Linked DNA regions of Coturnix japonica. The protein of the gene in region 2 purifies or fractionates together with the protein of the main gene of each other region. This does not show direct contact. Links are inferred from orthologs where the notes say so. Each region holds a gene or a part of one and is shown on either strand. Other genes may lie near its edges. The genes, in order: VAPB and RAB3GAP1.

What was found.
Region 1: the proteins of RAB3GAP1 (region 2) and VAPB purify together in Homo sapiens (affinity purification with mass spectrometry; 4 studies listed by BioGRID and IntAct, counting the BioPlex papers as one, with this or other methods). This does not show direct contact. The link is inferred for Coturnix japonica from reciprocal best matches to the Homo sapiens genes RAB3GAP1 and VAPB.

What each region holds. Positions count from the first base shown.
Region 1 is NC_029535.1:10,105,842-10,109,657, forward strand, and holds part of VAPB (vesicle-associated membrane protein-associated protein B/C), read right to left. Parts: intron 628-3,816; coding exon 524-627; intron 1-523. UniProt on the Homo sapiens protein: Endoplasmic reticulum (ER)-anchored protein that mediates the formation of contact sites between the ER and endosomes via interaction with FFAT motif-containing proteins such as STARD3 or WDR44.
Region 2 is NC_029522.1:27,696,875-27,700,790, forward strand, and holds the start of RAB3GAP1 (rab3 GTPase-activating protein catalytic subunit), read left to right. Parts: upstream 1-1,332; 5' UTR 1,333-1,425; coding exon 1,426-1,443; intron 1,444-1,560; coding exon 1,561-1,616; intron 1,617-2,015; coding exon of another isoform or gene 2,016-2,035; exon of another isoform or gene 2,036-2,361; intron 2,362-2,394; coding exon 2,395-2,470; intron 2,471-2,787; coding exon 2,788-2,920; intron 2,921-3,152; coding exon 3,153-3,231; intron 3,232-3,590; coding exon 3,591-3,710; intron 3,711-3,916. Other genes in the region: MAP3K19 (mitogen-activated protein kinase kinase kinase 19), read right to left, coding at 2,016-2,035. UniProt on the Homo sapiens protein: Catalytic subunit of the Rab3 GTPase-activating (Rab3GAP) complex composed of RAB3GAP1 and RAB3GAP2, which has GTPase-activating protein (GAP) activity towards various Rab3 subfamily members (RAB3A, RAB3B, RAB3C and RAB3D), RAB5A and RAB43, and guanine nucleotide exchange factor (GEF) activity towards RAB18.

The DNA.
Region 1 (3,816 bases), on a different chromosome or scaffold from region 2:
AATATTCTCTCAAACTAACAAAAGTTAGAGCAGAGTAAGCTTCCTTTTGCTTTCCTGTAGTAGTAGCAAAACCATACACTTCTGTTACTACCACTTGTAATCCACCATACAAGATCTATATGGGCAACTTAGTTATTTAAGCAGCAACAGAAGGAACAGAGAAAAAAACAATACTTGTAAGACATTTTCCTGGCGCCCACTGGGCAAAGGATCTGCTCAAGGGAAGAAATCAAGACAGACTACAAAGACACGCAATATAAAAGATATTGCATATCATGTCATATATAAAAGATACCACATGTCATATATATATATATATAAAATTACAACAACTTCACATGTTTCATAGCTTGGTGCACCATTACAAACAGCAGCCTTCCAAGGAAGCAACCGTGGTTGTGATAGCAATCTGCCAATGCTCTCAAGGAACATCCAGCCTGGTTTCCAAAGAGCCCTGAAGCAATGATGTCTTATGAATTACAGAAACAGAAATACATCCATTTTATTTACTTTCAATACTTACTACTGCTTCCATATCTGAAGTATCAGCTGGAGCAAACATAGACTGAACCATAAACTTGTGTTTACTTTTCTCATTGGGGTCATAGTCAAAAGGCTGTAGCATCACTGCAAGAAAAACCCCATAACGTTACGTTAATGTTGTTCTGATGCACAGTCATACACAGATGATTAGTTACAAGATTTGAGAAATACAAACATTAACATGATTGCAAAGTAGTGTATCTCTCTGACAAAGGAACAGCTGAGATCTGCAGCCCTACTTAAAATATTGAAGAAGTTAAAAGAAACAGAATTCTTCAGTCTGCACTGATTTCTGCCTGCAAAGTTTGGAACTGCTGAGCACAATGCAGTATTCTGTACATAAATACGGCGACATGATAGCAATTAATAGCAAACAGGGCAACATACAGATCTTCTGAGGCAGCAGGAAAGCCTCTCAATGAAAGAATCGGACAAACTTCAACAAAAATCCACATTTCATGGTCTGTGAGGCTCTCAATTCAACTGCTATGAACAGAAGCGGTTCAAGACGTGGGATTACTTTCAAGCATCATTGTTATTAACATGCACTGAAATTCACACACACCAATTGCAGGGATCTGCAGTGTACAGGTGTTATCCAAAGATCCCATTTATTGCAAATGAAGAAGAGCCAAACCAATCTGCCTCCTTCGATGAGCAGAATACGCGATGCCTGCGCCATTTTTACTGCACACACAATCTGTGGCCATCAACAACCACAAGCCTTTCAAAGCTGCAGGAAAAAGGAGACAGCGAATTGTCTCAAATGTGCAGTAAAATTCATGATACACTTTAACTGGCCTTACAATAATTAACTACTAGTCCAAAATAAACACTTCCATTTCAACAGGCTCCACGTAAAACTGTTCTTTCAAACAGAAATGACTGAACTGTGATGTGTATTTCAGCACTGCACAACATGTTGCTGAAAAGCAGAACAATCTTTTTGCCCCCCGTAACAGACACCTAACGCTTATTTCAAGTCTACATGATGTGCAAGAGCCAATGGGTACATGAAGCTATTTCACTGCTGAGGGAACTTCTCCAGAGCTGCAGTTGTACCAGTTTGCTTTGCTCAGTGTGACCATAAGCTCATTTGCAAATCATTATTTCCACAGTGATGGTGCTGAAACCATTCTTGAACACTGAGCAACTGCTGCTCTGAATTCCACTCACTGAATCACAACAGCAAGCAGCTAGAGAGGGCTTGACAGTATCAGCGTTGTTAGCACTTGTATTTTTAGATCAATACACGAAAGCCACATCGACACAAATTATTCAGCAAACGCCTTGTAAGCCAGATGGGAAGCTCAAAAATACTCCCTTTGTTCAAGAGGAAACCAAACCATTCAAAACCATTCAGCACACACTCTCGTACTATTGGGGGTTTCTGTGAAAGAGCAGTTATGGAAGTGCCCTAATTGTGACACAATTCACTACTGGGAGTACAGCTCCTTTGCTCTGACTGCCAATTGCAGACCTTACACCAGAATTACTCCTAAAAATATCTTTTCAAATCTTCTTTGCTGGTGCAATGTTACTGACCAGCTCCCACCAGAAACTGGTGTTAGAAAATAATTAACAGCAGATTCAGACAGGCCAGAACCAGCATCCATCAGCCAGTGGCTGCAATGCCCTCCTCGCCTCCACTGACTGCCCTACAGCTCAAACACCACAAGTGCTCTGTCATAAAATAAAACTGCAAAGCCACTGGGAGACCAATGGAATGAGGAATAATGTCTGTTGTATTTGCAAGACACGCCGCCTCTCAAAATTCACCTGAAGGACCAACCCCACATATATCCCAATCTGACATGTTTCAAATGAACGGGCACCAGTCTGCTCACACATTCCCACTGTATCTTCCATGTTTGATACGAACGATCTGCAGACGGTGAAGCAGAGTTGGTGATCAGCTAATGGTGAAGGTAATAACCATATCAAAGGCAGGGGAAAATTGAGGCAGGGAAGACATTATGCAAATGTGCTGTAAAAGCCTGCCAGGATCCGACCTTCCATTCCAAGAGCAGGAACGAACAGCCTCCCTGCTCAGATCATCAGCCTTCCTCTGGTTTCCATCTAAATTTATTAATGGCCTGTTCACTTGGTCTTGGACCAACACTGCGCTCACGCTTCAGTATCAAAGAAGGGGAAGAGTCCTTTACTTGTAGCATTCCAAGACATCAATCACAGTAACTCGTGGCCTCCTGGTAAACTAAACAAGCCAGACTTGGTCTGTCCTCTCTGAGTCAGGGCCCCCATTCATTCTCCACACCTGTTCTGGCTTGAATTCCTCTGTATGAGTTACTCTATGTATACAACCATGAAATTTTATTAATGACAACATTCACACTCTTATCTTTTCCACTGCCTAGTTTGTTTGCACACACTGCATTTGCCCTATTCACAGCCACATGATGTCAGCAACTTGGTCATCACTGATCAGTTACAATATCCTAACATCACCCACTTTGTTCAGAAAGCTTGCAATTATAGAAGAAGAAATCCAAGTACATGATTCTGCAGTTTTTATGACAAAACTCATCCTGTTTCTCTTACTGAAGCCTCCAAGGACACTCAGTTCTTGCTGCATGTCTTCAGCCTTTGAATTTTACATCATCGTAAGGGTTTTTAGTGTGCTGTCTTTGAGCCAGAACTGCTTACAAAAGCATTTAACAAGACTAATACCAAACATCACTAGCAATTTCTATTATCATTTGGAAGCCATACATCCACCGCAGTCCATGCTCAGCACTTGCCATGTTGGCCAATGAGGCCCAGGGGAGCAGCATATGGCTGGTGGCTGAGAAGGGGCAGAACTGCTGTGGGCAGCCCTGACCTGAAGGAAACACAACCCACCTCTTCCTAGTGAGGTAACTGCACAAAAGATCAGGGTACCTGACAACACAAGGATAACGTCAGCTCTCCCCATGCCCAGGAGTCTGCTTGGGCTGCTCTGTGCAGCAGGGCACACCATGCACCCTTCATCTCTCCGTTGTACACCTAGCTGCAGACATCAGCACCTGCTTCTAGTTTCTCACTCTTCATCTGGAATTCATTTGTATCTTTTATTTAGATTTCAACCTCTCGGAAGCCACAAAATCAGCTGTCTTTGTTCAAATAAGACACGTGTAACAAAAACAGAATGGGTGCAAACAGCCTTCTTTGCCAAGTACTTACAACCAAACGCAATCAAACAGGGTGACAGCACACATACACTTCCTGACAGTTACATAAACTCAGCTGTTAAAATTACACACCATTATATAACAG
Region 2 (3,916 bases):
GGGTTACTGAATGCTAGAGAGAAAGATCATGAAGTCCTTAATGGAAAACTCCTTAATAATGTGCCTAATATGAATTATGTGTGTGGACTTTTTCCATCTAGAGGTAAAAAACACTTTCAGCATTCATTATACATTTTATTACAAGTTATTCCTAACAGGTACTATCGCTGGCAATGGTTTGGGTTTGTTTGCTTATTTGTTTAGCTCATAAATACCCATTTTTAGTCATAAATGCCTTTTTTCCCTTGCACTTCAGCTCAGGGCTCTCAGTGGAGCTACTAATGGGAAAGCAGCCCAGTGTTACAGTGCAGCCAGTGGTAAGATGTAAGCAACAGATGGCAGGTACCAACTCTGTCCTTCAGAGTCCTTCAGGATTGGATTTGTATTTCCAAGTCGTGACAGAGCTCAGTGGAAACAAATGGCCCATGTAGCTCCTGCTGGATTTAGTATTTCGCCACTTACTGCTGGTCAGCAAAAGAACGTGGCCTTTGTTTCTCATTCCATCAGCAATAAGTACACAACAAGCCGTCAGCATACGGCAGCCTTCCCAAGAGACTCATCCGTTTACCCCAGATTAAATTAATCATAACAATTCTACATGTCACCACCCTACATGAGAGAGAAATATTGCTAACACCAAACAGTGCTGCACCCTGACATCGGGCAGTGCTGCCATTGGAGGTTTATAACAGAGGAAGCAGAAGAGAACCAAGATCAGGGACAACCGATATTGTGTGGAACTGCAGTGGAAAGCAGCACTTTTGATTTCTCCTTATGCTAAACAGCAGATAGCCCATCAGAAGGGCGATTATATGAGCCTGTTAAGGGTTATACGCTGAACTTTGCCAGACTTTCCCATTTTTTTGTATATATAGATATATATATTTAATTCAAAATAACAGCTGAACAAGTTCTCAGCTAGCCCTTACCGTGTGTTTCAGCAGCGAAGTGTGGCAGAGGCACAGATTCCACACACACCAACGTGCCGGTGGCGGCGGGGCAGCGGGCTCGGACCTCGTCTCTGTCCCTATCTCTGTTCCTTATCTCTGTTCCTATCTCTATCCCTGTCCCTATCCCTCTCTGTCCCTGTAGCTGTCCCAGCGGCTCGGCCGTTCCGCCGCGCTTCGTTTACACCGCGTTGCCAAGGCACCACAGCCCTCTCCCTTCTCTTTCAATGCTTCCTTTACCTCTACGTCATTTTCCCTTTACAGCCAACACCTCAGCGCTCACTATGGCCGGTACATTCTCATTAATTACTCTCCGTCCCTTTGCAGGCAGCCTTAAGGATTACGTTATTTATTTGTGTTATTTATGACGGAGAAATAGCATGAAGCGCGCACTGGGGTCGAGGCGCTGTGTGAGGAACCCGCCCATCCCGCGCAGCTTCCCGTCAGCCCTTGTGCATGGGGCGGGACGCAGGGCAAGATGGCGGCGGATAGTGAAGTGAGTTGTTTGTGTCCCCCCATCCCGTCCATCCCCAGGTCTCCCTCTCATTGCTTCTCTTGCTTCTCCCTCTCAATGCTTCTCCCTCTCAATGCTTCTCCCGCTCTCTCCCCGCAGCCCGAGTCGGAGGTGTTCGAGATCACGGACTTCACCACCGCCTCCGAGTGGGAGAGGTACGTGCTGCCGCCGGGCTGTGGCCGGCCCTGCGTTTACATAAACAAGTCCATTTTCCAGTGAGAATATCTATGATAGAAAAAGATTTTAAGGCCTGTGTTTAAATTTGAATTTAGATTACGTGTCTAATGTGGTTTTTATTTTTCTCTAAGCAGTGAAGCAGGATTCTGTTTTGTTGCAGTACCAGACAAACGTATAACATCAGTCTCAGTTCTTCCACTCATGTTGTCTTAATGTATGATCATACCTTGATCTGAATTAAACCCTGTGTTGGCCATAACTGGGACATTTTAATTTTAGCTGGTCGTACTTGAAACTCTTCGCAAAACCAATAAGTGGGGGTGAGGGAAGGGTGAGTAGGGGAGACAGAAAGTGTGTTCCTCTATGTTAGAAATTACCTTTTTGAGGAAAAAATCATGCTTGAAGTGTAACTGGAGCATTCAGCAGTGAAGCAGTTGGGCTCGTGGATCCCCAGAGGTCCCTTCCATCCTACAGTTGTGTGATTCTGTGAAAATGGGAGAGACTTTATAAACACTCAACACGTGTTCATTGCTAAACATAAGGCTTATCTGGGATGTGAAACTAAAAGCACCGCTTTGTTTGTACAGGGAAGCAGGCTATTTTTGTTGTGGTCCTTGGTATGTTACTGTTCTTTTTGCTTTGTTTTAAAGGAGTTCCCCAGTAGGACTACTTGTTGCCTGCTTTTGGGAGTTGAATTTACAACACGAGCTGAGCGAGCAATCAGGAAATATTAATACCTTTTTCCCTCCTTAATAGATTTATTTCAAAAATAGAAGAAGTGTTGAATGACTGGAAACTTATCGGGATTTCTTCAGGCAAACCTCTGGAAAAGGTCAGTTGGTCGGTTAGGGCTTCTATGGTGGTGATGGGCAGAGTAGAGGATGCATGTGCTTTAGATGTGCAGTTTCATGTGAAGGAAATATTTAACTCTTCATTGCCTAATAGCGCCGAGGACTTCTGTACTCGAAATAAAAGCAATTAACATAGATTTTAGCATTCCGCTAACTTTAAGTGCTTTGAGAATTATCTTCGTAGTAAACCATGACTAGCTGTAAAAAAAAAAGGAGAGAAAGGGGAACAAATATTAACCTGAATTTATGTGATCAAGTAATAGCTTTGCTTGTTGCTTTTGCTATTTCCAATCTGCAGGGTGTATACACCACAGGAACCTGGGAGGAGAAATCAGATGAAATTTCATTTGCAGACTTCAAATTCTCAGTTACACATCATTATCTTGTGCAAGAACCTGGAGACAGAGATGGGAGAGAAGAAGGTGTAGAAGGTAGCTGACAGTATTCTTTTGTGCCTGAAATGTGTCACAGGTGTTGTAAGGATATGACAGAAGACAATTTCAGAGTGCTGATTTGCATCTGTGTGAAATCTGGGGGGGGGATCTGATGGGCTGGACTTGACATTTCTGATTTTTACTACATCTTACTGTGAACAAATTGCTAAAGAAGTAAACTTCTGGTTATAGGGATGCTGATGGTCTTAGGTGTCACATCTTTTTGCAGATGCCCTTCCTCTGCCTATGCAGGACTTGCTCTGCATGAACAATGACTTTCCTCCTCGAGCTCACTGTCTAGTAAGATGGTATGTATGCTGCCTTTCTTCTTTAACACAGAGAAGCATAGCAATAGATTGTTTTTAGGTTTAATTACAGTTCTTACTAACCGTAGTAAGAAACTCAGGACTGGTACACCTGGAAAATCCTCCTAACATTCAGTAGTGTTTGAGCATTGTTGAATTCCTGTAGTGCTGTGATGATCTACAGTACTGCATTCCCAGTCAGATCTTGGCCTCTGTGAAGAAGTGACACACAGCAAAATAAGAGTCATATCCTGTTGGTGACAGTTGGATTATTCAGGTTATAACGTTTCTGACAATTCTGTGTTAGAGCTGGTTTATTGGAGCACACAGATATATTGCCTTTTCCCTGCTCTTTCTCTAAGGTACGGCTTACGTGAGTTTGTGGTTATTGCTCCAGCTGCAAATAGTGATGCGGTTCTTAGTGAATCAAAATGTAACCTGCTGCTGAGTTCTGTCTCTATTGCTTTGGGCAACACTGGCTGGTAGGTGAAAGCATGAACTTTTTTATATGCTCAGGTGAAACTAGCGTACTATTTATGTAGTTCTTCATTTCATTAGGAAGAAGTTTTTAGTTGTTAGTGAATTACATTGTGTTTCTTGCATTTGCACCATAATGCTGTTACAAAAAGCCTTTTAAATATCTCATCACTGTGACAATATAAATACTGATTCAGTATGTTATTTTTAT